4 linked regions of the Pelodiscus sinensis genome follow. The protein of the gene in region 2 purifies or fractionates together with the protein of the main gene of each other region. This does not show direct contact. Links are inferred from orthologs where the notes say so. Each region holds a gene or a part of one and is shown on either strand. Other genes may lie near its edges. The genes, in order: HNRNPA2B1, HNRNPU, DDX5 and MRPS9.

Region 1 (7,885 bases), on a different chromosome or scaffold from region 2:
TGTATAATCACTCACCTTGTAAATGTTATACAAGTGAAAGATATAACATTGATGTAGCATTGTGGTAGATAGTGTAGATACATTAAAGTCAGACATCAAAGTTACAGTGTCAAGAGAAACATAAACTGTCTCCTCATATACTGGAGGAAGCATGGTTCCCATGAGAACTAAGTTCCTAAAAAATAGTGATTGCATTAACAGGTTCTCTTCCTTGTCTCCAAGCACTTTGAGTCTGATACTAAATTCCAGTAAAAGTTTTTTTAGCTTGATAACTTGTTTGCAATGTTATTGCTTAAACCAGGACTACTCAACAGGCGGCCTGTTTGTTTGCGGCCCATGGGTGGGAGCCAAAACAAAAAAGTAGTCAATATAACGGTCTTCTATTGAAATGAGTTTTAGTAGTTAAATTCCTGGACTGTCGTTGATCATTAAAAGTACCCGATTTCCACGCATATGACAGCAAATATTGCTTTTTATTAATGTCAGCAGAACTGACTTAAACGGGGCCTGTGTGTTGTGTAGTCTTGCTTAATCTTTGTATTCATGCCTGTCAGTGTGAAAGAAACTATTTGCATATATATTTGTATGTATATGCAACCACACTTATTGCAGCCCTTGGCATGTTCTGTGAGTATCATTGTGGCTCCCAGGGTCTTCTAAAGTTGAGTAGCCCTGGGTTATATAGTTGCAGTCCAGTGAAAAATAACTAGGCAATTAACGGACAGGAGACAGGATACTAGTATTTGTGTGGATGTGGGATAAACTAGCTATACTAGTCAGTAAGTACTATTTGCCTATTATTTTTCTACTAGGTAAATAGAGCACAGACTTCCACACTGTTGTCCTTTACAAACATGTACTGCCACAGCTAAATGAATACTAAGCCAACTACTGTGGCATTTATGTGTCTTCAACTTCAGAGTTTTTTGGGCTCAATTTAACATCAAGAATTTTCATAGGAACTTGATACATGTCAAAGTCCTGTTACAATGGTCCAGATAGGGGAAACAATCTCTGCTCCTATGAAATCCAATTGAATCGTTATTTACTAACAGCTCTAACCACAATCCACACTATGCCCCATCATATTAGTATTAGGTAATTGCACTCGTAGTTGTAGCTGAGGAGCTAGGGAGAAGTTAAAACGAATATGCTTCCCCCCCCCCTTTTAAATATACAATGAATTACATGGGGTGCTGAAAGGAGGCTAAAAAATCACAAGTGTTTTCTGTAAAAGGTTATTAAACGTAATTTTCACTGAAAGTCAGAGAGCTGAACTGGAGCACAGGCCTCCATTAAAAAGAGAAGGGATTTTGTTTTGTTTGTAAGTCTTTCACTGGAAAACAGCAGTTTTATTTAAGCCAAAGTTAATGTCCTTTCTATTAGCCTTAGTTTCTGGATCTGAGATTTTAGTCAGAATAATGCTGGGGAGGAGAGATGTGGATGTATCTTCTACATGGAGATGCCAAGTTATAATTTTGAAGAAAAATCCTTATATATTTTAGGTGCTCATGAACTTACCAATGTAGTTTTATTGGAGGCCATTTTTATTGCAGACTTGCAGAGCTTTACTAGAAAAATGCATGACAATTAAAAGGAAATTTAAGTTACTCAGAAAAAGGCATCCCCATACAAGCATGGTCCTTGTTCCAACCCCCATGTGTTCACTGCACATAACATGTCAAGTGTGGATTAAATCCAGAAAAGATTACTGCTTTGTCCAGCAGAATGCACAAACACACCATAATGCTAGTCATGATCCTAGCTATTGATTGTGTATGATAGGTTGCAAGAAAGTCCTACCAGCATAAGGCAGAGATGTTTCAGAGAGAGGTGGGGAGAACCATTTCCTTAAACCCAAGAAGGAAAAGTGTTCAGTTTCAAGCAATTAACTAAGATATTTAACAGCATTTTCAAGATGCAAAAGTGAAATTTTAGTTAGCAACAAAGTATCTGTAGCATAATTCACTAGTGAGTTACCAGTAATCCTGACACAGCAGGAAATATAAACTGCAGAATATTAAAACTATAATGTTGCAAATGTATGGATCAGAAGGCAAGAGTTAAGGCTAATACAGATACAAACTGCAAAACTGTGTACACTGTATGCGAAGACTAAAATGCTTAATTAAGAAATATACATTGAATTAACCTATATAAATTACATAAAAACCACATGGTCTGAAGAAAACTCATCCTCTTTCCCATGCAGTTGCTTACACTAACCACCTCTTTGGGCATACATTTAGTCACCCATCCCTGCAAATCACAAAATGATCAAGGCAAAAAAAAGCCTATATGGAAGTCAGAGGAGGGCTTTGACTCAGCGATCCTGCCCAATTCTCACCCCCTTGCAGCCCGAGAGGTGGTACTGTAGCCAAGAAGTCCAGCGAAGGACAGGCAGAGGCTTGGGCCCTGCTGCTGGGCACTTCATCTAGGATTCATTGCGATTGGAGGGGGGAGGGGGAGAAGAGGAGGGAAACAAAGGCCCATAGCACAGGAATGAAGGGTATGGCTGCGCCACAGGCCTGTGATGGGCGCATACGAGGCCCGGGTGACCTAACGGGACTAGCTGAGCAAGGAGTAGGGCCAACCTGCACGCCAACGCAGAGGAGGAAACCCTGCGCCCCTGCCTCTAGTCGGCGGAGGGAACAGCCGGCGAGTCATGCGTGTTGCCTAAACCTACACTCCACCATTTCACACACCCGCTCTCAAAAAAGGACGAGGGCCCCTTCCCGGCGCCACGTTGCCCCCTCACCGAACACGACCATTGCGCTCCAAGAATAAGCTGGGCGGACAGTGGAAAAACCGCCCTCGGGGCTGGCGGCGTCGCTTTGTCCCCTGAACGCACCCCCCTCCGCCTCTCCCCAGGCTGCACCCAGCGTCTAAGCGCTGCGCTCCCCTCCCTGTTAGGGCCCAGAGCCTTCCTCCTACCTATGGGGGCAAAGCACCCACTAGAGATCCCGGAGCTCAGCTCCCTCTTCCCCCGCACCGCCGCTACCCGCCTTCAGTAGCCACCCTTCAGGTAAAGGCGGGCAGCGAGGGGAGGGGGAGGGGAGCTCCGCAATTACACCCAACACGAGCCCAGCTGCAAGGAATTTTGGGCGCTACCCAATTCCTGGCGAGATTAAATGGGAAACGAGAAGAGAGAGAAGGATACAGACTTCAATGGTGCCTGGCGGTGGCGGCGACTCGGGTTTCCCGTCTCCTCCTTGCTCCCTGCGCGCACTGAGCAGCAGCGACATCTGAGGGGGTGGGGGCAGAGGCTGGGGCGGCTGCTGCGGGGTGGGAGCGCTGAGCTGCGCGGTGGCTGGCGGCGGGGCACCGCGCACAACGCCGCCTACACGTTAGCTGCAGCCTCCTGCCGCCGCCACTGCTGCTGCCGTGTCGCTACCAGTGCAGGCGCGAGCGAGAGGGGGGCCAGCCAAGGCTTCTCTCCCAGAGAGCGGCTTGAAACACGGGGACGCGAGCTCGTCGAGCGCCTGGGCGAAGCAAGATGCCTCGCGGAGACCGAGAGAGCGACTGGGTGAGTGCCGGGGCCCAGCGGAGCGCGCCATAGCCGCCGGGCCAACGGCCAGCCCTGCCTGGGCGCGGCCCCGGGACGGGCCTAGAGGCCGAGCTGGCCGCGGAGAGCTCCCGCATCGGCTGAGGGGCTGGTGGGCTACGAAGGGGAACTTCGGGGGAGCGAGCGGAGGCCGGGGGGGGGGGAGCATTAGAGGGGCTTGGGGGCCGGGGCCCAGCGACCATGCGGCCACTTCCTCGAAGACGGGTGGTGGGAGACCGCGGCCATTTCCCCACTGAGCTCGGCGGGGGGAGGGGAGCTGCCGAAGCGCCATTTCCCCGGCGAACTGGGGCCGCCACTCACCCTGGGCTGCGGGGCCGCTGTGCGCGAAGCTGGCTACGGCGGGGTCCGCCTCGCTCGCGGGCCTGGCAGGCGGCGTCTCGCTGCTGGCGCCAAATCGGGCCACTTCCTCCCAGGCGTCCGGAGGCAAAGGGGCCGCCCCGCCAACAAAGGGGGTCTCAGGGCCGCGCACTCCTCGCGCTCCGGGTTTGGCCCCGTGGCCCTTGCCCACGCTCTGCCAGCACCACAGGTGGAGAAAGGGGGCCCCTTTGGCTAATTATAGTCCTTTTGCTGCTGTTGGGATCGGTCTCCGGGCGGCTCCGGCAATTTCCGGAAAAACCCGAAGCGGGAGCTTCGGCTCTATTCGGACGCGAGAGGCTTTCCCGCTTCTTTGTCGGAAACTACCGAAGAGACCTTCGTAGTCGAGGAAGCCTGTTTCGGCTCTTTCCGGAAACTGCCGAAGTGGATCGCGCTAGTTCGGGCTTTTCCGGGTCTTGCCGAAGTGGAGTTGGTCCACGACGACGCCTGCGTCGGTTCTTCTCGGAGACAGCCATTGCTAGCGGAGCTGTTGAGCTTTTTTACTACGTTACTAAAGCACAAAGGAGCGTTCCGCAGAACTGCGGGCGCTTCCGGGGAGCATTTAATTCCACTTGCGGTCCAAGCAGCCGGCGACAGTTAGAGGAAAGGGAGGGGCGGACGGACCATTGCCTGACGATGCATTTAAAAATACGTAACAAGGCAGCCATTACTAAAAAGGTTGGGTCGTATTCTCAAAAAGGGTTACGCCGGCCATGAGGTGGGTGGTACGCAAATAGCGCACGTCTCGGGTGTACAGTTGCGCAAGGTGCGTTTCGGCTCGCAAGAGTTAGTACTCTTGCGTCATGGCAGGCATATTCTTAAAACTGTTACGCTGTTAGCGCAGCGGGAGGCGTTCGAACTTCCCGTTCGCTAATACGCTTGGTGGCGCAGTGGGCGAGTCTTGGTGCTTTTCCGTAGTAGAGACGTTAGAGGGGAGGAAGGTTCTGGAAGCGCCGGCGGCAGTTGGGCTGGTGCGCAGCAGAGGGAGGCGGAGGCACACGCTGCGGCAACAGCGCACGCGGAGGCGAGCCCTAGATCCGCCTCACAGACGGTTTAACCGAGCTCCTGTCGCTCTAGCGAGCCGCGTGCGCTCTGGGGGTGACAATGGAGGGCAGTAAGCGAAGCGGGTCTATGTCCGGGCCTGGGAAGCGCCGGGATCAGTCCGGGGAGGCGCAGATGGTAATGGCGGTAATGAGGGGGAGGGGTAAAATGGCGGCGGGATGGCGGGGAATAGACCCCGGCTTGCCGGGAAAGGCCCGGAGAGCCCTGCTGCAGGGAAGCGCCGCCACGGAAGAGTAAGGGGTGGCGGGTATGAGGGAAGGGTGTGCGGAGCGGAGTAACTGTTACCTTGCGGGCAGCCTGTACGGAGCAGGAGGTGATGTAGGGGTGGGGGCACCGGGGTTCCCTGTCCAGCTTGGCTGGGAGCCGGCGGGGTAGCTGAGGGGGGGCTTTAGGCATCTAGTTTTTTTACGATCTTGCGAGCGAAGCCGACCCCTGTTCTTGCAGTAGCGCCAGGCAGAATTTTTCTCGGCGGCATCGCTCTCCCTAGGGTTGTTGCTTTTAGGCGCCATTTTCCTTCTCTCTCCAGTGGCGGGTGCCTCTGTCTCCCGGCATTGCCACATGGCGGGCTCCGCGCAGCTGCTGCTCTGACCCTGGAGATTGCAGGCCCTTGCCCCGTTGGGAGGGTGCTGAGGTGGACTTGCGGAGGCACCGCTACCGCTCCTCTTGAACAGACCCGTACGGGTAACAGTCGCGGGGAGCGGGGAATTTAAACCTCCTCCCCCCCCCCCGCCCCACACACACGCGCATGAACTTTTTGGCGGGCACGCAGTACTCGGATGCTGATCTGAAGCTCCTGCTCTTTTACCTCTTCCCGCCATTTTTGTTAAGGTCTTAAGCTGCAGTTTGCAGCAGGTTATGGCCATTCTTTGTCTATTTCTGTAGGTATTGTTCTGTAAAACACATTCCTTGTGGCTGGACTCTTGCCTTCTCAATAGAGGCTCAACATATCCCCATCCTTGCAGATTCGCTCATGCTGTGGGAGAAGTACATTCTTGAAAGCTTCAAAGCTCGTTTATACCGTATTTTTTATTATAACTTTGTACAAAAATAGACGTTCTCACCGAGATTATAAATGGAAGGTAGCTGGACATGCTTAAGTTGCCACAGGTAACATTTAGGCCTTGTTTTCACTACAAACATTAGGCTAGTGTAAAGTTCTCCTGCCCTGCCCCATGACATTGTGTAAGTTAGAAACACTCTTCTATCAGCAAAAGTTCCATCTATATGAGGATTTTGCCACTTAGTTGTTAGGTATATGTTTTTTTCCCCCTTTCATACATCGTTATGCTGCTGCAGACAATATAGTGTAGGCCTGGCCATATTGTAGTTTCCTATTTGGTAGGATGCTAGCCAAGGTTGTAACAGTACTTTTAAGGAAAGAGACTGTTCTCATTCAAATCTCAGTAGCAAAGTAATATCTCCTCTCCTCCCCAGTATAGATATGTTCTAGGTAACACATGTTAAAATCACAGTGTAGATAGTTTTAAACATCTCAGCAAGACTGTAAATAATAGGGGGGAGCTGGAAGTCTGAAAATGGAGTCCATGTTCCACCCAAGGCAGGGCATAGCATGGGATCATGTACAATACTGATTTACTCAAGTACATGCTATTTTTGATGCACCATGTGGTAATTTAAATATGAGACTCCAATGTCAAACTTCAGAATAGTTCTGTAGCTCTTGTGGCTGCAGCATGAAAGCTTCAGTGCTGAAATTAAGCTTGTCATGCTTACTACTCCCCGGCCCCCCAAGAAGTTCTGTGCACAAAATGTTCTCAAACTTTCTTAGCGTAACCAATGTAAGGTGTAGACACCCTAGTTCCCCCTACTGAGTTACCTCTTTTTCCTTCCTAGTCTCACTGGTTGTGTGGTGAAAAATGACAGTTTTGTATATATTTTTGTTTCCTTGGTAACTACAGTGTCTTGCAAGTGTCCTTCAGATCCGCAGAAGTTTCATGTCATATATTCTAATAGGTAAACGGTGTGGGTGAGGTACTGTTTTTGTTTGTATTGGACCAACTTTACTCTAACATGATTTACAGCAACACTGCTTATTCTAGTAGCTCTTGTTAACTTGGCTTATAATACTTTCTGAAGATGTGTTATGAATATATGTAGCTTATACCAAATGATAGTAGTGCCTTGATCCAAGTTTTCATTAGCAGTCCATTTCCCCAAACCCTGTCTCAGCTTTGCCCCACTCCAGCTAAGTTTGGAGTAATTTGTGAAAAATATTTATGCAAATATCTTGTAGCATTAATATAGTGGTCCAAATATTCCCATTGAGCAGGGGTTCTCAAATTTTATGGCACCACAACCCCCCCTCTGTGCAAGAACAATTGTTAGTTTGATGCCAGTATGGGGCTTGAAGTCTGAGTCAGACTAAACCCTGGGTTGGGCCGGGTGGGGGAGGAGACAAAGCCCAGGGGCTTCAGCAGGAGACTGAAGAGGCCTGTTGCCTTAAGTCCTGGGCTAAAGCTCCTCAAGCTTTGGTTGCATGCTCCAGAAAGACTAAGCAAGGACAGTTAACCCCATTAAAATGGGGCTCGTTCTTCCCATATCTTTCAGTTGGCTGTAACATTAGTGTGTGGGTGTTTTTTGTTTAGTTTTTAAATCCGAGTGGATTTTTGGAACTTATTTATGGGTTAGTACTTAATCATTCAATTTTTGATAAGACTGTGTGGTTGCTGCTTTAATCAGGCTTTGCAGATTGTCTTACAGCTGTGCAGTAATTAGAAATATGAAATTGAACAGTAAAAAAGGTATATAGGTTTGCATCGACAGTCTAGTGGCTGCAGAGCCTGAGAGAGGTAGCAGGATATGCAGCTATATCAAAACCAGGTTTGGTATTTTCTTAAATAGCTTCTTTTAGCTCTAAGGGTGCACCATTGAAATCTTGCTTCA
Region 2 (7,499 bases):
TTAGTCTGGTCTAGCTGAAACAAAAAACAGGACTATGTAGCACTTTAAAGACTAACAAGATGGTTTATTAGGTGATGAGCTTTCGTGGGCCATCTTGTTAGTCTTTAAAGTGCTACATAGTCCTGTTTTTTTGTTTCAGCTAGAATTCAGACACTGAAAGAAGTGGACTGATGTCAGACCCCATCCTCCAATGACCACTGAATGCATCAAGGGAAGCACAGGGTAAAAGGGGAGAAGATGGGAGAAAGCAAAACTAAAACTGTAGACATTCAGAGAAGTGCCCCTGTCTGTCTCTCTCAGTCTGGAAGATGTAAAGGATCGGAATTGCTATCAGACACACAGAAGACTCCTGCCATGTGACAGACAGAATGGCATAAATAAATTGGAATCAGTCTAATCAAGGCTGTGCGTGGGATGGGGCGCTGATCAAACGGCATAGCTTCCACTCGCTCAGGGCCCAGTCTAAAACTTGTGATAGTCTGTTGAATGATTGGGTCTCTGAGCAAAAACTGCTTAAACAGTACATGGGAGTGTGGAAGCTACTGAGTATATGCTGCCACTCCTTCAATTTCCATATTTTATTCTGGGGGGAGAGGGAGAAGGGGGAAGAAGGATGGAGAAAGTCCTTCCAAGAACATGGATGACAAAAAGCAGTGGAAACTAAGGACCATGGTCAGTGGGGGCCAGGAATTTGAAGAGAGCCATTTAGTGATAAGGAGAAGTGAAGTTTGGCAAACGAAATAAGAAAACCAGACTCAAGGAGTAAATGTGTATGCATCAATGTCAACTAGGAGGAGACCGAAGTTAAACTGTAGCAGGGCGCAAAATAAGCGTTCGAAAGACACGCTCTAAGAGTATCTTTGAGGGATGTTTCAAGAAGAAAAAATAAACTAAAATAAATGCAGAATAAGTAGAGAAGAAAATAGACCCCACAAGGAATTAGGGTATTATGGTTACTTTAATTATAGCACCTACTTGTCACTTTCAGTTTAGATGCACAAGGGTGTCTTTTATCATGTGACAGAATGGTATGTGCCATAAGATCTAGAATATGGACACTTGTAATTTAACATTAGTAGAGGGTTTTTATATCTGTCATTCTAGCTGAGTAACTCTAAGTTTTATTGTGGTAAAACAGTTGCTACTAGAACTCCCTATTTTCAGAGGTTCATAATTGTCTAAAGGTGAATGTTTCAGATATGCTTGGCTGAGCTGAAACAAGGGGTGATGAAAACTTGAGTAAAGTCCTGTCCTCTCAGCTGTCTAAGCTATTTTAAAAAAAGGGGGGGGGGAATATATTTCTCTCATGCCTCCTAATTACACTTTTTGTTTTTAAAATAGGGCTATAGCCCCCCCCCCCCCCAAAAAAAAACCTTAAAATTCTGAAACATTTATAGGACTCAAGACTAGTAAGTCTTTTATTTGGGAAAAGATTGTCTTTAACAGAGTGATTGTATGACTATAATGTATCTGTCACTTTTCAGAAGCCTACTGATGCTAGTTCATACAAAATGAAGCTAAACAGGGTTCTATGTGTATCTTAATCATTTTCATGTCCATTCTTTCTCAGTTCCAACTGCCAAAGACTCCTATCAGAGGCAGCAGCATGGGGGGGGGGGGAGAAGAGGAGGCTGCCACTGAGCAGCCTCTGTCTGCAGCAAGAACTCCAAGCTTTGCAGTAGCAGTCCTTATCCACGGGTGTCCAAGCTCCCCATGGAGCAGCTTTTGTCCATGGAGAGCTCAGACCCCATGGACAGAGGCTGCTGCTACCCCATGCTGCTGCCTCTGTATCAGAGGCAGCAGCACAGAGTGGCAGGCAGCCAGTCTGTGCAGGGAGCTGGCTTTTGAACTAGTTCCCTTCATGGACCAACAGAGGCAGAAGCACAGTGTGGCAGGGGACTCCCCGAGAATGGGGTTGGCGTACACTGGCTGCCATCTCCGCCCCTGGAGATATTGAATAGTTGTGTAACTGCTAAGCTTTCACATAGTTATAGTGAAATTGAATAGTCAACGTCCCTATTATAGGTGGACACTTGCTGCAGCATCTGACAGGGTTTTTCCACCACAGTAGTTAATCCAGCACTCCAGCAGTAGCCAATGGTGACTGCATTGGAGCTTGGGACATAATTTTTCACAATTCTTAGTAATGCAATGTAGATACATTGATCTAAGTCTTAAGTGTAGACAAGGGATAAGCAAAAGTGGTTTAATGATCAGAGGTGCTGAAAATCCCACCTCCCATTAAAATTCAATGGGTGCTGCATGTGTTAAACATCTCTGTAAAATTAGACTTTCTATTTAGGTGCCTAAATATTACTTTAGGATCCTAACTTTAGACCCCTAAGTTTGAATGTTTTGGGGGAAGTAAATCTTTCAACATGCATGAAAATCCTTAGCCGTTTTGATACTCCAGGGTTGCTCTATAGATGTATAAGAAGAGTATTACTAAAGTTGGCCAATATGATTGAATGCATACAGGGATTTGATTTCTTGATGCTTCCTTACAATTGTCTTCAGTGTAGGACTATTGTTGTGAGTCAAAATGAGGGTACCATTCAATATAGATGTGTGTTAAGTGGATTAAGGCAGGAGCTAGTGCTTACGCTAAAAGGAGCCCATCAATCTGTAAAGCTTGGATCTGAAGCTAGGGAGTAAAAATTCCTGGTGGAAGCTAGGATTTGTGTGTTTCAATGGGCAGCCATATTAGTACATGAATATGGTATTTAGGTTCATGGAGTCATGTGATATCAAAACTGAATCCATTCATTGTTAGGGTTCAGTTTACCCTTTCGCTTGCAAAGAAAACCCCAAAAATGGCTTGTAAACTGATGCAGCGTTGTCTGCAAACTATAGGAAGGCATCTTAAAACAATAAATCTGGCTATGTGTACACAATGTCACTTACAGTGGTTTGTGCCACTTTCCACAGCTCCCATTGGCCAGAATGGCAAACAGCAGCTAATAGGAGCTGTGGGTAGCCATACCTGCATCCACAAGGTAAACAACCTTTCTGGCTTACCCTGACGAGCCATGTGTGGCCTACCAGCCTTAGGTTGCCCAACCATAATTTAGATGAAAAGATTAGGGTTTGATTACCTTTGTTGGCTAGCCCTGACCAAACAACAACCTTTCCCCTAATACAGACACAAGCTAACAACCTTGACCTCTCTTTAGCTGGTCCAGATTGACATGAGGCTCCCTATTTTAGGATTCACTTGGCAGCTCTAAATTTGATGTAAAATCTATTAACCTTTATAAATGCTAGAAAAAGATCAGGGCTATCACCACCTTTCCTCTAATATTCTTTACAGGCTGTGTGTGCGAAAGAGCGAGTCCTTGCTGCTGTCACCTGAGCATTACTCAGGGTTGATTTCAAGGGAGAATCCTCCCTACTCGAGGATTATTTTTTTTTTCTGATGACTGAGCAATAATATGAGAGCTTTTATGAACACAGATGCTGTACTGCTTTAATTATACCAGTATAGTTAATATTGTACATCACCCTTAGTGATGTACAATACAGCTTATTCTAGTTCAGAAAGGAAAATCAGTTACACCAGTATAAGGCACTTCTATGCTAGTATAACTGTGCCCATGGTAGAGGTCAGCCTATTACAATATCAGTTATCAATCCTATTCATAACTCAGTTGTACCAGTATAACCTTTTTAGTGTAGACAAGGTCTAAACTAAATTGGTTTAAGCACCTTCATATTGGTATAACTGTGCACCCTAAAAACATTTTACTGGTGTAACTGCTGTTATGATCAAGGCGGCACAATTTTTATGGGCAGACAAAGGCTTAGATCCAGGAGGTTGGATCCTACTATGCTTGTGAACTCTGCAGACTGACTAGGTGTGAGCTGTCGGGTCCGTACTTGGATTCTGACTCTGTAAGCCAATCGGTGAAAGAGGACCCTATAGGGAACCTGAGTGATGTTCAAGCAGGCACAATTTGTGTACATGGAGCCGATCACAGGAGTGGAGCCTTCAGTTCCACAGACTAACAATGTATTTTTCCCTTTTTCTGATGGATGATGTAGATGGGGATCCCACAGCTTCCTGAGGCAGAGCCAAAATACTCCAATTTACCCTTCTGGAAGGGGAGACTACATCTTTTCTTACTTATTGGGCAACATGCAAGATTTAAATGGACACGGTACGGGATTGTAGGTTGAAGCTTTCTAGCTAGTCAGCTGCACTTCCACTGCTCCTGTCTATAATCGTGGTCAGCCAGTGGCACAACCAGAGTAACACGCGGGGGCTCTTTGGTAAGAGCACTGGTGTTCCTCCTGTCCCATGAAAGGTTCATACCTGCCCCTTTCGCGGCGCTGCAAAAGCTGGGGCTAGGCAGGTTGAATGCGCTGGGGCGGGCATTTACGGTAGTGGGGTTTTGGAGGCGCTCGGCGGCACTTACGGTAAGTAGGAAAGGGGGGGGGGGTATATTGCGTGCGCGGGCAGGGCGGGCACCAAGCTGCGTGCTCGCCCCCGCGAGGCGCGTCTCTCCCTCGCGAGCTCGGTGAAAGGATTTGGCGCCAGGCGGGTCCGCTCTGCAGCTGCCGCAGCCGCACGAACCAGCCGCGCCACCCACCCAGCCGCGTCCCACCGGGGCCTCGACCCAGCGCCGCCGCCCGACCGAGCCCAGCGCCGCCAGGCACCGCGCCGCCGCCGCCATGAGCTGCTCGCCCGTCAACGTGAAGAAGCTGAAAGTGTCGGAGCTGAAGGAGGAGCTGAAAAAGCGGCGTCTCTCCGACAAGGGCCTCAAGGCCGAGCTCATGGAGCGGCTCCAGGCCGCGCTAGACCAAGAGGAGGCCGGCGGGGGAGGCCCCGCCGGCAGCGCCGCCGAGCCCGGCAACGGCAGCATGGAGGGGGAGGCGGCCGGGATCGGCCAAGGGGGAGGCCCCGACCAGGCCGCGGCCTCCACCGCCGAGGACGACGAGGAGGAGGGGATGGAGGCGGCCGATGGCGACGCCATGGAGCTGGGCGAGGAGAACGGCGACCGGGCGGGGGCCGGGGGCGGCCCGATGGAGGAGGAGGCGGGCGGCTCGGAGGAGGAGGAAGAGGAGGATGAGAACGGAGACGACCAGGGCTTCCAGGAGGGGGAGGACGAGCTCGCCGACGAGGAGGAAGAGGAGGAGGCTGAGGCCGGCGACGCCAACGGGCACGGGGAGCAGCAGCAGCAGCCCCAGCAGCAGCCGCCGCCGCTTCTGCAGCCCCAGCAGCGGGCGCCCGCCAAGGAGGCGCCCAGCAAAAGCGGCGCCCCGGGACCCCCGGCAACGGCGCCGGCCGCCTCGGCGGGCCCCGCCAAGTACCAGCCGCAGCAGGACAAGAAGAAAGCGGAAGGCGGCGGCGGCGGCGGCCGCCCCGGGCCCCAGGCTGCCGGCGGTGAGTGCGTGGCCGGGGCCTTTCCGGGAGCTCGGCACGAGATCCGGGCCCTGCCCGGCTGCCGAGGGGATTCGCGCTCCTTATTCCTCCTCCCCCCGCCCACCGGCGGCCTCGTGGGGGGGTGTCTCGGGCAGGTGGGGTCGCTGCTCGAGGGCGATGGGGGAGGGCGGGACCGTTGCGCCAGTCTCCGAGCGCGGCGGGGGATGGGGGGGGGGAGCGAGGGGCATGGGCTGCTGCGCCGTGGGGGAGGGGCGGTTCAGGAGGGGCCGCTGGGGCGCGCTGTATTGTGCAAACGAACGTTCGGCGGCGTGACGTTACTTCCGTCCTGGCTGCTGCTCAGGCTCGCGTTTTTGGAACGCTCGATACAATGGAGGCGGAATCCCCTTCCCTGCGGCCAGGCCCCATGCGGAGCTGCGCCGCCGCCAAGCTGCGCCTGTGGCCACGCGGGGAGAGAGGCGCAGCAGTTGTGTAGCGCCCTTGTGCTTGGCTTCACTGTGCCCGCGGCGGGAAGGGAAGGAGGGTGTAAACGATCCATTTAATACAGTGAGCTACTGGTCTGCTTTCTGCCTAACCTCCCATTTGTCTGAACACAGCAGGTGTCTTCTCTGTTGAGCTTGTACACACAAGTTCATATTATTCTTGTCACATTTTTCACAAGTCTGACGATTCATGAGGTAACTTGAAATCATTGTCAGATTCTTAGTGCTGCCGTTAAAATTTGCAGTGTTGTCCTAATAGATTTTATCTAAATGATTAAGAGCACACCAGTTACCTGCCCAAAAATTAAATGGATATCTTTTATATGGAGACTTCTTACATGTTTGAATTTGAAACCTGGCATTTAGGGAAATACCACCCCAGAAAACTAAAACTAAAACACATTTCTCAACAGGAATTACCTTAAACATATTTTTCTCTTAACTTACTTTCTGTAGGCGATACTAAAACAGAACAAAAACCTGGTGATAAAAAGAGAGGTGTGAAGAGGCCTCGTGAAGACCATGGTCGGGGATACTTTGAGTACATTGAGGAAAACAAGTACAGCAGGTAGAGAAACTTCAAAGCACTAAATATTATTAGATCTCTGAAGAGAAGCCAGGTATTAATTACTTTGTAAAAACAGTTGAGGAAAAACTCATCAAATTTTATTGTTGATTCTAGGGCCAAATCTCCTCAACCACCTGTTGAAGAGGAAGATGAACAGTTTGATGATACAATGGTTTGTCTTGATACTTGTAAGTACTTTTTAAAAAAAATTAACGACATTTTTTTAAAAATAAATTGCTTGATGAATTGTAGTAAGAACATACAGATTGCTTTCATAATTAAAAGTGACTTCTGAAGTCCTTGAGGCTTATGCCCTTTTTCTGTGTTTTATGGTATATGAAGAAAGCCTGGGCTTTCCTCTTATTTTGTTCTCTGTATGATGGTTCTTTTAACTTTAAAAATATTACCCCCAGTTTTGCTGTTGAATTAGGCTGGGGAAAGGGCTTCAGGGTGAACTTAAACTTTTCCAAAAAGTTCACTGGTTACTGAAGCAGGTCTTCTCAAATGAGATTCAAAGTGGAGAGGAGAGAATACAGAGGACCTAAACCACAGTGGGGGAGGAGGAGGACCTCAGGCTGGTTCAGATTGAGAACTTAATTATGAAATATGTTCAGGCTCTGTTATGGTTCAGCCCTGGTAACTTGGGAGGAAAGAAGCAGTTTACCTCAATTTCATAGCTTAAACACTACACGGATAAGAGCAGTATTGCGATGAAGTAATCCTGCTGATATTAATAAATTAGAACAAACCATATGTTGACTTCTAATTGATAGTCATTAGCTCAAAGCAGGAATGAGCTGGTATACATGGAGAATTCTTACCACTTGGGTACAAACCTCATAAGGCAGTTAAGTTTTATTGTTCATTTGTAAAGTGAACTGTACATTAGTGTTGGAATTAATTCAGCACTAGTATGTCCAGTTCAAACCATGTATTATGTGATTACAAATTTACTATGAAAAAACAATGGGGAGAAAATGACCAACTTGTGAGCCCTTGCTGTTGCCACTAAGGCTAAAGTGTGTGGGGGAGGGGACTTGGTCTTTAAGATGTGACATGGCAGTAGCAT
Region 3 (7,551 bases), on a different chromosome or scaffold from region 2:
AATATCAAATTAGTACACCAGCAGGGTAAACAAGCACAAAATCTTTCAATTTTTGCCAAATCTATTTAGAGAAAAGCTAGCTACAAGAGTCAAAGTTTTATGTAGGCAAACAAATTCCAAAAGATGACCAAAAATCTTTTAGAAGTGGATAAGATTGTCTTCCGGTAACACTTTAAAAAGTGTAATAGGCTTCTTTAGGTTTCACTGCCAAGATACCCTTCAACAAGTACCCTCAAAACCAGCCATCTTTTGACACAGGGGGTTATGCCCTCAAGCTAATCCAATTTTGGGAAGCACACTTTGAATTCTTCAGTCTTAGAGGACAGTCTATACAATGCACCTAAGCCTGATGGACTAGCTAAAACATGAAACTGACTACTTGCAAGGTTTATAATGATGCAGCATTCAAGTGCCTAACTTTTCTACTCAATCCACATACTCCAACCCCAACAATTTGCATTTAAGAAAGCCAGATTCCTCTAAAAGAAAAGAGCTTCATATTCTTATACTCACAATAGGTCCATCTCCTCGCTCCAGGAATGGCTGATGATTTATATGCACTATAGCAGGCAACAAGTACTGTGTGAAAACAAAAACTCATGTTATACATACATATATCTAAAACACTAGGAAATGTAACTAGATTTGCAGTTTTATGTATTAGTAACACTTTGAACATGGAAATGCAGTTACATAACCTGAACATTGTAAAGTTACAACTTACGGACAAGGTTTTCCCAGATCCAGTCTGTGCTACTCCAACCATATCCAGTCCACTCAAAGCAACAGGCCATCCTTGTGCCTGAATAGCAGTTGGTTCAGTGAAATTCTGTCCCTGAATTACTTCCATAACATTTGCTGCAAAAGAGAACCAATGAATTAGATGCTTGCATTCATGATGTCTGAGTGAACCCCTGGATATACAGGTATCTGTACTCACCAGGAAAGTTAGCTTCATAGAAATTTATAAGCGGTTTTGGACAGGTATGGCCCTTCACTGTGATTTCTTTGCTTGCTCTGTACTGTTCAACCTCTTGCTGCAAAACATAATTACATTAGCATTATTTAAAGCTTTATCTAGAACAAAATTGCAAATTGACTGAAATCAGTTGTATTCAAATGAAGTGTAATAATTTCTCTAAACTTACTGATTCATATCCCACATAATAAGTCGTCAAGTAAAAAGCACATTAAGTGTCAATTCCTGCACAGATAAACAATTTTAATTAAGCAAACAGCCAAGGTACATACCACAGTGCGTCTGACTACATCAGGATGCTCTTGATAAAAATTCTTCTCAAATTTGGGCAGTTCATCTAGGTTCCATTTCTTTTTCGTAAGTTTTTCTCCAGGGTTTCCAAATTTCTTTCCAGATAATGGTCCGCCTCTGCTTCCTCCAAATCGAGGGCCACCAAACCTAAAAAATTATTAGCCATGAAAATGTTTGCAAAATGTAACAGTCTCTTATGTGACAGTTAACTCACTTCCATAGTCAGATCAATGCTAAAATTCTCAATATAGCTAATTCCTAATTTGTGTTCATCAATATTTGGAGAAAGCATTTAGCTGCCCGTTTTCACTTCCAAAGTATAATAAAAGCCACAAGCAGCAGATTAGGATTAGTCACCAAATACCTAACACCCCAGATAAAGGAGCACCTAATTTTCTAAAGCATTTAAAATGAATCGCTGGAAACAAAAACAAGGCTAGCCCTAACGCCTTGGTAACAGAAGTGACACTCCCAGTGTGCGTCAGAGATTGAAGAAAGCCAGTGTATGCCCGTGGGTGGGGCGTTATGAAATCTAGAAACATTCTCGTAAGTGGGTGCCTATGGGATGCTTTTTAATTTAAACAAGCGCAACGAATTCGGGTAAGGAAACAAAACCGGCCGCAAGACGCTGGGTCCCAAATAAAAAGCGCATCGGAGTCCCTTCGACGGAAAACGATAAAATCACCAGCGCCCCCAAATCCCGTTCAGCCGCCAAGTACGCACCCCCCATCTCACAACTGGGCCAACGGGCACCGTGAAGGGTTATTCGCCCCTCCAGGCCCCGTCCCCATCCACCCGGGCTAGGCGGCGAAGTGCCCCCGCCCCCGCGGAGAACATGGCGGAGCGGCAGCCGCGGTTTCCTTTGTTTCTCATTTCTGTCTACGCCACATTTTCCAGCCGCTGCCATTTTAGAGGCTGGGCGGGGAGGGGGAGGAACAAAGGCAGCAGCCGGCATTTTGATTTCCCCTCAGTCACCGCATGGCGGGGCCGGCCATTCACATCCGCTTACACAACACAAAGCAAGAGCCGGCCGGCTTTAGCCCCAGACGCCATCTGCCCAGGGCGGTTCCGGAGCGGGAAGGGGGCAGTTTCGGTCACCGGAGGGGCGCGTGCACGACCCGTTAAACCGCCAAACACGGTTCCGACTGCCCGAGCCACCAAACCGGGAGACCTGGAGCCCGAGCAGCGGCGGGGGGAGGGGCGCGTTCCCGAACTCCCCCCCCCCCCCCCACAACCCGGAGCCGACGATCCCCAACCGTCGAGGGCAGATTGCTCAGCCGAGTTTGTACTTCACCGGCATTCGGTCACCAGCCCCCGGGCTCGCCTACCACTCTCCCCCCCCCCCCCCAGGTGCCCCCGACTGCTGGGATCCGATGCCATCGCCCCCCACCTCCGCAGTCAGCGGCCCCTCCCGCCATTCGCGGATCGATGGAGAGGGCGCCCATCCCCGCCGCCATTTTACATGGTTCAACGGCCGGTAGAGCCGTTCGGAGGAAACACGGCGGCAAGCGCCGGCCGGGGCCCCAGACTCACCCTCTGTCCATGTCGTATCCAGGCATAGCAATGGCGGCGGCGGATGAGACGAGCCCGAGCACTGAAGCGAGAGGCAGAAGGTACGGGAAGGTCAGGGACTGCAGGCGACTCTAATGAATGGGGAGCGTCGAAGCGCCCGAACGCCGGTTATATAGCCGGCGCCCCAGGGAATGCTGGGAACCGGGTCGTGACGCGAACTCAGAACCCTTCCCTCTGTCCTGCGTCAGAGACCGAAGCAGCCGTATTCCCCTCCCCCTCCTGTGGGCGTGGCCGCGAGCGCTAGGTTCTCGACTTCTCTTTTGCTTCGCCGGCCGGTTTTTACCCTCGCAGGCGGAAGTTCCCCTTTCCACTTCGGGCGTGGCTCGCGCTACAGTCACTGCCCGGCATCCCCGCCCCCTTTCCGTTTTCCAGGCGCGTGCCCAAAGCCCTCGAGCGGCGTCCTCCCCTCCCCCTAACTTCAGCCTTTCGCGCCCACGCTTCTCAGAGCGCGAGCCGCCCGCGCCTGCGCATTCCTGGTGGTGTCATCCCCTCCCCCTCATGCTCCGTTGTTGTCATCAGAGGCCTACTGTGTCCTTTGTAGCCCCTTTATGATGGAAGAGGAGCGGGAGGGGGGCATTAACCAGCTGGGGCGCTGCACAGTCCCTCTCTCTGCCCCGAGGCTGTATAGGGGAACCAGCCCACTCTCATCAAAAGGGCATTGCCCCCAACAGCCCCAGGTTCTGACATGGCTGTTCCCTTCTCTCTCTCTCACACACACACACCTAGTAAATGTGACTCCGCAGGTGGTTCATGATCGTTGGGAGTCAGGAGCTTTGTTTTATGTAGAATCCTGGGACTGGGGCTGAAGGGGACCTTGAAAGGTCATTAGGTCCACAAACCTTCAGAGAGGCAGGATAAACCCAGATCATCCCTGACAGGTGTTTGTCCAGCTTGTTCTTGAAAGACTTTAACAGTGACAGCCCCCGGGGAAGCCTGTTCCACTGCTTAACTGCTATTTGGAATATTTTCCTGTATCTTGCTGCAGACCAAGTCCATTACTGTGTCTATGGAGAACAATTGTTCATGGTCCTCTTTCTAAGAGCCCTTTAACATATTTCAAGCCTGTATCAGGTTTCTCTGTCAGTTTTTTTCTCGGGAATAATATGCCCAGGTTTTAAAACTTTTCCTCACCGTTTTTTTAAATCTTTGTATAATTTTTATTGATCTTCTCTGGCCTTTCTCCAATTTACCTACATCTTTCCAAAAGTTTAGTACTCAGATTTAGGCACACTACTCCAGCTGATGCACCACCATTGTGAAGTAAAACAAGACAATTAACTATAGTGTTAGCTGCAACACTATTTTAATACAAATTGCAGATTTATATTAGCTTTTTTCTAACTACATCACCTTGTTAAAATGTTCAATTTGTGATCATGAGAACCCCAGATCCTTTTCAGCAGTACTACTAACTAGACAGTTCCTATTTTGTAGTTGTGCATTTAATTTTTCCTTCCTAAGTGAAATATTTGCAATGTTTTTATTGAATTTCATCTTGATTTCAGATCAATTTTCCAATTTGTAAAGGGAATTTGGAAATCGTATCCTCTAAAGTGCTTGCAACTTCTCCCAGCTTAGTGTCATTTGCAAATTGTATAAGCATATTCTCTATTATCCAAGTCATTAATTCAGATCACTAAAAGCACTGGACCCCTGACTGACACTGTAGAACCCCACTAGATATGCCCACAGAAACTACTCTTAGTCTGGTCTTGCAATCAGTTGCCCACTCAGCATATAGTATTTCATATTACCCATTTACCATTACATTACCTCATGTTTCACTACATATTGCATCTGCACCATTTTCAGAAATTCTTCCTTCATTGCTTTAGCACCTGCTGATGCCCAGTTTTCCCTAGAGCTTCCATTGCTGCTAGGAACAGTGGAGATGCTCCCATACTAAACTAACAATGGGATATTTTTAAATTAGTGGTAAGTCTGGAGCTGGCAGCAGGAGTTGGGCCCATCCCAGCACTCACTGGCTGTAGCAGGAAGTAGAAGTACCTGGCTCCTGCCTATTCTGCTCTGCTAGCTCCCAAATGTGTCACTGCTTCCTGCTTCCAGCAGGGGTGGCCCCAATCTCTGCTGCCAGCACCAGGCCCCCTGATAATTCCCTGGACTGCCCTGGGCCCCACACTGACCCCAAAAGCGCAGATCCTGGGATGGTTGCTCCTCAACTGTCCATAGCACAGGACAGCGCTGTCTTCTGTTCTGTGAAAGAGCAAACAACATTTCCTTATTCTCTTTCTCTACATCTGTCAAGATTTTATAGGCCTATATCATCTTCCCGATGTTAAATTTCTTTCAAGCTGAAAAGTCCTAGTCTTTTTAATCTTTCCCCATACGGAAGCTGTTCCATACCCCTAATCATATTTGTTGCCCTTCTCTGTTGTGTCTTTCCCAAGTCTAATATATTTTTTGAGATGGAATGACCAGATTGGCACACACTATTGAAGATGTGTGCATACCCTGGATTTATATAGAGGTATTACATTTTCTTATTTATTATCTCTCTCTTTCCTAATCATTCCTCACATTCTGTTTTCTGACTGGACGCCCATAGCATCTAGCTATGAATCAGGACTTCATTGTGGTAGCTGCTGTATAAAGAATAAAAAGATGGTTATTTTCCCAAGGAGTTTACAAAGAAACCTTAGATGCTATATTTTGAATATGCAAAGCTATTTGATTTTTCCTTTGCTCCTTCCTTTTTTATACCAAGTGGCATGATATGTTCATTTATCAATTAAGTCATGGCTTTATGGAGGTCTCTGCTTATATTGAAACCCAGATTTGGTACTAGAGTCAATATAATTGACTTTCTGGTTTGTATGTCACTGTAATTCACTGCTCTCAGACTAGTAATTAAGATCCCAAATGCTTTTGTCTTCAGCCTTCTTCAGGTACCATACATTACATGTGTTTGGGATATTAATGAACAGGGCACTCCAGATTCTGGGGTAACATGGATTGATGCAATATAGAATTTTGAAAACTTTTAGCCACTGTTTCATGGATAAGCAAATGTGTTTAGGTCACTGGATATCTATTGCAGCTAAGGAAAGCTGGAAACTTCAGTGACAGCAGTAAAGGGGAGTAAACATAAGCAGGCAACATCTTTCAAAGTTTTCTCCTGCATTGGGGTGATAAGAGTCCCCAACATTCCTACACTCTAGAACAAGTCTTTCAAGATCAAAAACTTTCCTGTGCTTTCTTATCTTCCCAAGCACTCCTGAAGCCTCATTTCCCTTTAATCCCAATCCTCTATGTTCAAGAAAAGCAGCTTAAACTAAATCCTTTATTGACAAATTCCTCCCAGCATTTCCTAGGACAAACTTGACCAGAGCTCTCTCATTTTGTGCCGTCTCCTCCCCCAGTACTTCATATAAAGGGAGGTGGTGGAATCACCACCCAAGGGAGGTGGTGGAATCTCCCTCTCTGGAGATATTTAAGAACAGGTTAGATAGACATCTGTCAGGGATGGTGTAGACAGAGCTTGATCCTGCCTTGAGGGCGGGGGGCTGGACTCGATGACCTCTTGAGGTCCCTTCCAGTCCTATTATTCTATGATTCTATGATTCTATATCTACTGGGACAAGCCTTCTCGACACCTGAATTTGGCCTTGAAAGTCTACATCCAGTAATCTTGCATAATACTCTATTTCAGAGTGATTAGATGTACAGTGTATGTCTTTAGTTAGCAGTCTGTAGAACTGTTTGTTATGCCTTTCTATCATTCATTATGTTATTCTGAGTCAACATACAAGACTTTTCACTATCATTATGCATTATTGACTTGTAATACGATTATTGATGCTTTAAACATAACACATAGCTGCTGCTTCAATGAATTTAAAGTGAAGATAGACAATGAACATAGATAAGGGGAAGAAACAAAAAGAGTGAGATGCAGAAGTGATGTTTATTATAGGATTTAGGGTTTGTGGGGTTTTTTTTGAGCTAGAGCCATTGAAAGGAGTAAGAATTTTTGTGCTACCCATTAGTGAACATTTCTCAGACTAATGGTTCCACTCAAACCAGGATCAAGGGGACCCCTGCCTCTCTTTCCATAGGTCCTGGAACACTTACGTTGTTCTGTGTATGTAATGATACCCTGCATCACTAGGGTGTCAAACTTTCCCAACAGAATGCCATTTCGGACCAGATGCCATTGCCGCAAATGGTGTTCAGTCCATCAATTCTGGGAGAGTTGGAAATCCTATGCATCACTGTTACTGTCAGGAGTTGTGGGTGCTCCACCCTCTGATATGACCCTATTACTTTCTCTGGGAGGCTTCCTGTGAGGGCATACCCACACTGTCCTTCCTAGACTGTTCTCTGTGGGCAGTAGGAATCAGGTTGCCACTTGTCCTTGTTTTTACAGGAGCATCCCTGATTCGAGATATCTATAATGGGAAATCTGTTGTAAGGGTGCTCAGTACACTTTGCCAGCTGTCTAGTTTTATGAACTCAAGATCATCCTGAACATTCCAGTTTTTTTGTACCTCAGAGTTGGCAACCCTGCCTAGGACACTGGGTGCAGGGAAATGCACATCACTCCCAGGGCAAAGAGAAGAGTTCCTTGGGACACCGTTGTTGTTCTCATTGGGTTTGCTATAAGGTAGCCAATTTTGTTTAACCTTATTTCTGGAGATTTAATCACGACATAATCTTTAATTCCCGGCCAATCCTGGAAGGGTGTCAAC
Region 4 (7,184 bases), on a different chromosome or scaffold from region 2:
GCAGCTACAAGCAGGTAGGAGTAGACTGTAACCAGCTACCATCTGATGGGCAGCTAATGAGTGCATTAGGGAAAGGCTGAAGAACACTGTATTGACAGTTTCGTTTCTTGCTGTCTTGGTCAGCTGTAAATGTCAGAACAAGATCAGAAATTAGGATATTGAAGCTGAATCATTCAACTGCCTGTATCAGAACTGCTTCAGATTTGGTACCTTTCTTGGTATGGGAATATTATTAGGTTGGAAGACAGCAAACTCTGAAGTTTGCTTACCTAGGAATGTTTCTATCTGGTCAGTGGTCACTTGATCACCAGACGCTTCAGTGAAGTGATAAGATTGCTAGTGATGGAAATAAACTGACTATCCAGCCAGACCATCTTAAGGACCTTGTTAGAAATTGATCAGGGTGGTGCTCAACCTGCAAGGAGGCTACCTTAGAGTGGCCACTGGTGTGGTTTTAAATCAGTCCTCTTTTGGGGTGGCTTGTCCTCCAGTCAGTACTAAGACAAAATCTGGATGTTTTGTCCAGTATGGGACGGGGAATGCCATTTTGAAGAGTATACTGCTCCATCCCCTCAAGTATGATTTTGTGGCAAATTCATCTCAGCATGGGTGGGCCCATGCTGTTCCCAGAAGTACAAGAATGGCTGGTATTCTAGAACCATGTGAGTGGCCATTCTAGGCTACTTTCCTTTAGGATTTGTCATGATGATGATGAAATGGAACATAAACATGATGCAGAGTGGAGGTGCACTTTCAATAATCAATCTCAAGCAAAGAGTTATCCTAAAAATGAGTCTTGAGAGATCTGTTTAAGAAAATAATTGGAAAATAATAAAAGTTTCTGAAAAATGCTGAAAATGTTCATTTCTATTTTCTTTGGCAAGATGCTATTGTCAAAATTCTCTGACCAGATCTATCTATCTCAGTGATGAATTCCATTTAGCTCTGAAGACTTGCTACCTATATGTAGAGGCTGTGAAAATATTAATCAATGAACCCTACTCAGCAGAAAACTGTAACAACTTCTAAATACAATATTCCTACTTCAAAGTAGAAGCTGGGAATGGGTGACATGGAGTATATAACCTGGTGATTACCGATTATGTTCACTCTCTCTGAGGTGCCTGGCATTGGCCACTATGGCTATGTCTACACTTCAAAGTAGGAATAAGAGATCCTCCGGAAAAGGGCTTTCCCCAAGCCGGAAAAAAAGCGGCGGACATGTTTATTTAAATCCGCGGGGGATATTTAAATCCCCCGCGGATTTCCCTATCCTGACTTACCTGATTTGCATGGCTTTTCCGGAAATTGTGGCCAGTGTAGACGTAGCCCCTATGTTCATGTTTAAACTTTTGGTGCAAAACTGTATATTCTTGTGGTATCCCTAGCTCAAAAAAGATATATTGGAATTGAAAGGGTTCAGAAAAGGATAACAAAAAAGATAAGGGATATGGAACAACTTCCATATGAGGAAAGATTAGAACGGTTGGGATTTTTCAGCTTGGAAAAGAGACCATTAAAAGGGTGGAGAAATATGATAGAGGTCTAGGAAATCATGACTGGAGAAAATACATAAGGAAGTTTTATTTACTCTTTCCCAAAACATAAGGGCTACGTCTAGACTGGCATGATTTTCCGGAAATGCTTTTAACAGAAAAGTTTTCCGTTAAAAGCATTTGCGGAAAAGATCGTCTAGATTGGCATGGATGCTTTTCCGCAAAAGCACTTTTTGTGGAAAAGCGTCCGTACCAATCTAGACGCACTTTTGCGCAAAAAAGCCCCAATCGCCATTTTCGAGATCAGGGCTTTTTTGCACAAAACAAATCTGAGCTGTCTACAATGGCCCTTTTGCGCAAAAGGACTTTTGCCCCGAACGGGAGCAGCATAGTATTTCCACAAGAAGCACTGATTTCTTACATGAGATCGTCAGTGTTCTTGCGGAAATTCAAGCAGCCAGTGTAGACAGCTGGCAAGTTTTTCCACAAAAGCAGCTGCTTTTGCGGAAAAACTTGCCAGTCTAGACACAGCCAAGGACTAGTGGTCACCAAATGAAATTAATAGGCAGCAAGTTAAAAACAAAGAGAAGTATTTTTTTTACCCAATACATCATCAATCAATGAAACTCTGGCAAATTGTGCTGCGAAGGCCAAGATTATAACCAGGTTCAAAAAAGAACTAGATAAATTCATGGAGGATAGAACGATCAATGGTTGTTAGACAGGATGGATAGAGATGGTGGTGTCCATAGCCTCTGTTTCCCAGAAGCTGGGAATGGGTGACATGGAGTATATAACCTGATGATTACCGATTATGTTCACTCTCTCTGAAGTGCCTGGCATTGGCCACTATGGCTATGTCTACACTGCAGCGCTATTTCAGGATATTTCCGGTATCCCAAAATAGCTATTCCGTGTCTTGACAGCACGCCTGTTATTTTGAAATATCTTTCAAAATAATGGGCTCACTATTCCGACATCCATGTAAACCTCGATCCATAAGGATTAAGGAAAGTTTCGGAATAGCACTTTATTTTGAAATTTAGTGCTGTGCAGACAGTGCAAAATTACAAAAAAAAATCTATTTAGAAATTGACTCAAAATAAACTGCGCAATTTGTGTAGCTCAGTTGTGTAGCTTATTTTGAGCTAAGGGTGGTGTAGACACACCCTGTCAGAGGACAGGATACTGAGTGGGATGGACCTTTGCTCTGACTTATATGACAGCAGGTTACTATTGTTTTTGAAGCACTTACAGCATGCAAGGCACAAAATGAAGAGAATCCGTGACATAAGGGATTTGTAATATGAAGTCCACAACTATCCCTAGCAATGCTGGTGCCTACACAGCCTAGCACCTGCATCCCCTCTGCTCTCACGGTGGGGCTGCGAGAACAGAAAATATGGGGCACAGGAGTACACGAGGGCAGGGAGTTTCACCTGCAGCTTCAGGAAAGCAGGTGGAGGTGTCACAGAAGTGGAAAGTGCTGCTTTTCTCCAGTTTGCAACTGGGGGATCAGGCTGGCCAACAGACTTGATATGCAGATGCTTGTGCACTATGAAATTGGGAGCAATTTGGTACCCCAAATTTTGTGGAGCCCTACATAGTTTGTGTATCAGTAGGGAAGCCCTCATGAGGTCTCTCCTCTATTTCAAGCAGATTTATTATTATTTATTTACACAGGTAACTTTATGGAGAAATCCCCTTATGTCAAAGTAGTTATATGCCACCCATTTGCAGGGTTATGGCCCAGATAACTGGAACAGGCAGAGCCTAGATGAATGAGTAGCTAACATGCACATTACTGCATACAACCCATGGGACCATTAGCCTGATGTGAGGTGCAATACCAAGCACTAGATATAGGGATATAGGGCTGGAAATAATGGGCAAGTGACAATGCACTGCCTGGTGCCACCTTTCCCACTGCAACACTCAAGCCACATGTCCTGTTAGCTCAAGGAAACAGTGAGGGGAACCCATAGTTGCTGAAAGTAAGGGTACAGGGAGGGGGTGCTGCAGCACTCCTGGCAGTAGCAATGCTTGGCAGGAGAAGGAAGTGGGCACCTGCCCTGTCTCTTGGCATTCACTTGCTTTGCCCCCACCCCACCCTTGCTCCACCTTTCCCCACAAAACCTCTTCCTAGTACTCCCCAGAGAGGTGCAGCTTGGGACCTGCCCAAATGGGCTGGAGATGTCAGACTTGTGTCTTCCCCACCGCCAGATAGTGGAAGGGGAGGAATATAGGGTGCCTCCACATGCACCCCTACCCATTGCCTATGACCCCTGGCTTGAAGTAGTTTCTATCATACACAGGGTTTACAGTTTGGTTCAATGGCTCTTAGCACCACCCCACTATCCAAGTTGTTCCAGCCACCCTTGCTGCTCTGCCTTAAACCCGCTCCTGCCCTTGTAAAGCCCGGCCCAGCCCAGCCCAGCCCAGCCGAGCCGCGCGCCCTCCCCGGGCACATTCCATTGGGCACGCAGCTCCGCGGCTGCAGCGCGAGAGGCTCGCGGACAGGGGTGAAGTCGCGCCCGTGCGCGCGCGCGCCGGCTCCCCCGCCAGGATCACGTGAGAGCAACAAATCTCGCCTTTCCCCCCGCACAGCCAATCCGCAGCCCGACGACAGCCGAGCGCCGGCCCTTGCCCCTGTCAAGCGGTTCAGCGCGCTTGCGCCGATGCCAAGCTGTTTGGGTCCTCTCCCCCCGCCCCCTCTCTTTTCTGTGGCTCCTCCCTCCCCCGGCTCGCGCGACGCTGACAGCCCTGGACGGCAGCAAACATGGCGGTGGCCGTTAGGCGCGTGCTGCGAGCGAGCCGCTCCTGGCGCGCGGCGCTGGGAGGCCAGGAGAGGTGGCGCGCGGAGGTAAGAGCGGGGGGGGCCGGAACCGAGCGCTCGCTCCCCCTCCCCCTCCCCCTCCCCCTCCCCCGGGGCCGTTTAGGCGCGGGACCTAGGCCTGGGGCGAGCCCAGCCCGGCGGGTGCAGGAGCCGCCTCCCGCCCGGCCTGCCCCCTCGGAGCGGGGGACGCTGGGATCGGGCCGCAGGGCACCCGGCCCGGCAGCTGCTTGGGGCCCGCGGGCAGGTCCCGGCTGAGCGCGCCGGCATCGGGTCCCCGCGTGGGGTGCGGGGCGAGCGGGGGCCTGTGAACAGCTGGCACCCCGGAGCGCCTGGTCCGGTTCCCCGACACCGCCCCCCCCCCCCCCCGTGCGGCCCGACCTAGCGCTGCCCGAGCGCGCTGCGATGGGAAACCCTCTTCTGTCCCACCCGCCGTAGCCCTGCCGCTGTCGCGCCCCCGGTGGCCTTGGCTTAGGTCTGTATCTTTACCGCCCCAGGTGAAACGGCTGTCAGGCTGCTAGGTGTGTGCGCCTGTTGGATTAATTCAGCAAACTGGCACAACTGTTGCAGGGGCACATGGGGAATATAACTGCAGCGACCTGGCGGGCTGCCTCCTTTCTTTATCGCCCACCCCTGGAATACCACGTCTTGCCCATGTGTGGTAGTCCCTTTACTATAGGCTACTAAGGCCGTGTCTGCACTGCACTTTTGTTGTTAAAACTTTAGCTGCTTAGCTGGGGGGGTTTTAAGTTGCCTTGGAATAACAAAAAGTTTTAATAACAAAAAGCCCTGGTGAGGACAGTGGTTCATCAGCAGAAGAGACTCTCCAGGCATGGACATTACCACCGCTTTTGGAGGGTAGTTTTATTTTGCGCTCAGAGAGCTCACTCGTGACAAAGAGCAGCTATGCTGCTTAGTGCTTACCGTACAGTGGCTCAACTTTAGCAGCACTGCTGTGTTGTTTTAAGGTGTGCACTGTAGATATAGCCTAAAGCAGGACTACTTGGCTTTGGAAGCCCCGAGGGCCACAATAATACAGCACATGCTGAGGGCTGCAATTTAAGTGTGATTGTATATACAAGCAAATATACATGGAAATAGCTTCTTTCACGCTGACGAGCATGAATACAAAGATTAAGCCTAAAGCCATGGTGCCAGACACAAATATGGCCAGGTGTAAGCCAGTCATCACCCCTCAGGCTCTACCCTTGAGAAGCTAAGCAGCCAGCATTTCCCACAATGCCCCAGCACTCCCGGCTCCACCTCCCTGGGGACTAGAAATGCTGACATCCTACTTGGAAGACCTTACAGTGGTACAATACAATACAACTGTGTCACTGTAAGGGTCATAGTATAGCTATAGCTTGAGACTGTTGATTTTAAGTCTGGAAGGACTAGCATGATGGTCTGGTTTGACCTACAAAGTGTAAGGCAAAGAGCTTCACCCAGGGATTCATGCAGTGGAGAGGAACTTATTCTTTTCTGTTATATACACAACTGTTATGTGGGTAAAGGACAACATTTCTTTCTGTAAAGATGGTCAAGTCTTTGACTGAAAGACTACAGAGATGATGAGTTGATGATTTGTTCATTGTTAAAAAGTCGAATTATTGCTAATTTGCATTTACAGTTTGAAAAGCAAATGTAAGTCACCCATAAGGTCTGGTCTAGGTATTGTGTTGACCATTGTATTAGCAATGCTATATTAAAATATATAGTAATCTCACTAATGATCTAGAAAGAGGGTGAAAGTGACAAAATTTTGAAATGACATCATAATTTAGGATGGTGAAAACTGTGGAACTCATGAGTGACCTAACAAAGCCAAGCAATTAGGCAACAGATGACAGATGATTCACTGTAGTCAAACACAAGATAATGTATATTGGAAAGAGTAACTCAATCTATTTACATTAATTTCTGGTTTCTAAATAACTGTAACAATTCAGGAAAAAGACTTGGTGTCCTTGTGGACACCTCAAGTGTGCAATAGTGGTTAGAAACAAACAAAATATTCAGGTGTTCTGCACAAGGGATGGAGTATAAATAATACTGAGAATATTGTACCACTAATCTATATGTTGAGGTACAGTCCTAGTTTGAAAATAGTGTCTGGTTCTGGTCAGCCCATCTCTCAGATGTAGAGGGTCAAAGTGACAGGTAATGAGACTAATTGGAGGACTGGATAGACTTATGTGTGAAGAGAGAATGAGAAGATGAGGACTGTTTAGTTTACATTGGAGCACAATGGAGCTATTACACCAACTAAAGATGCAGACCAGTTAGTAATGTAAAGCAAGTAAGTGTGTCACTCCTATTTATTCTTTCTCTAAATGCAAGAATGAGAAGATAGCCTGTGAAAACCCTAACCAAGTTTCAAGGAGTTCAGGGGGACTTATTCTCTATTAGGGATGTTAAATTTTGATTAATCAACTAATTGAGTAGTCAATGGAATTTCCATCGACTACTTGATTAAACTACCCTGCTGTGCCTCTCTCTTTGAAGAGCTCCCCTGTACATTTCCAAGGGAGAGGTGCAGCAGTCAAGACCCCACCGGTTCCCTCCAGCACTGTCTCCACGATTGGGGGTAGGGGAGGAGAAGGGAACAAGGGAGGCAGAGGTGTCGCTACTGCTGTGGCTCTCTTTAAAATGTACAAGAGCTGCCTTGTTAGCGGGGGCAGGGAAAGCTACTATTCAAGTGACTGCTCTGTTATTCGTTAAGCTTACATCCCTATTTTCTACACAGTATTGTTAGTTTTATGCTCATGTGTCTTCACTGACTTGAGTGGAGTTTAATAGGTGAAAATTGATGTAACACTAAATAAACAGGACACCAGTATTTCAAATCTGATACT

What was found.
Region 1: the proteins of HNRNPU (region 2) and HNRNPA2B1 purify together in Homo sapiens (affinity purification with mass spectrometry; 4 studies listed by BioGRID and IntAct, with this or other methods). This does not show direct contact. The link is inferred for Pelodiscus sinensis from reciprocal best matches to the Homo sapiens genes HNRNPU and HNRNPA2B1.
Region 3: the proteins of HNRNPU (region 2) and DDX5 purify together in Homo sapiens (affinity purification with mass spectrometry; 3 studies listed by BioGRID and IntAct, with this or other methods). This does not show direct contact. The link is inferred for Pelodiscus sinensis from reciprocal best matches to the Homo sapiens genes HNRNPU and DDX5.
Region 4: the proteins of HNRNPU (region 2) and MRPS9 purify together in Homo sapiens (co-immunoprecipitation; 3 studies listed by BioGRID and IntAct, with this or other methods). This does not show direct contact. The link is inferred for Pelodiscus sinensis from reciprocal best matches to the Homo sapiens genes HNRNPU and MRPS9.

What each region holds. Positions count from the first base shown.
Region 1 is NC_134712.1:197,287,077-197,294,961, forward strand, and holds the start of HNRNPA2B1 (heterogeneous nuclear ribonucleoproteins A2/B1), read left to right. Parts: upstream 1-4,873; 5' UTR 4,874-5,023; coding exon 5,024-5,098; intron 5,099-7,885. Other genes in the region: CBX3 (chromobox protein homolog 3), read right to left, coding at 3,165-3,245. UniProt on the Homo sapiens protein: Heterogeneous nuclear ribonucleoprotein (hnRNP) that associates with nascent pre-mRNAs, packaging them into hnRNP particles.
Region 2 is NC_134713.1:132,534,126-132,541,624, reverse strand, and holds the start of HNRNPU (heterogeneous nuclear ribonucleoprotein U), read left to right. Parts: upstream 1-4,482; 5' UTR 4,483-4,671; coding exon 4,672-5,383; intron 5,384-6,318; coding exon 6,319-6,430; intron 6,431-6,544; coding exon 6,545-6,618; intron 6,619-7,499. UniProt on the Homo sapiens protein: DNA- and RNA-binding protein involved in several cellular processes such as nuclear chromatin organization, telomere-length regulation, transcription, mRNA alternative splicing and stability, Xist-mediated transcriptional silencing and mitotic cell progression.
Region 3 is NC_134730.1:20,752,768-20,760,318, forward strand, and holds the start of DDX5 (putative ATP-dependent RNA helicase DDX5), read right to left. Parts: upstream 3,002-7,551; 5' UTR 2,830-3,001; coding exon 2,804-2,829; intron 1,418-2,803; coding exon 1,252-1,417; intron 1,038-1,251; coding exon 941-1,037; intron 859-940; coding exon 725-858; intron 580-724; coding exon 514-579; intron 1-513. UniProt on the Homo sapiens protein: Involved in the alternative regulation of pre-mRNA splicing; its RNA helicase activity is necessary for increasing tau exon 10 inclusion and occurs in a RBM4-dependent manner. Binds to the tau pre-mRNA in the stem-loop region downstream of exon 10.
Region 4 is NC_134711.1:233,198,876-233,206,059, forward strand, and holds the start of MRPS9 (small ribosomal subunit protein uS9m), read left to right. Parts: upstream 1-4,180; 5' UTR 4,181-4,275; coding exon 4,276-4,359; intron 4,360-7,184.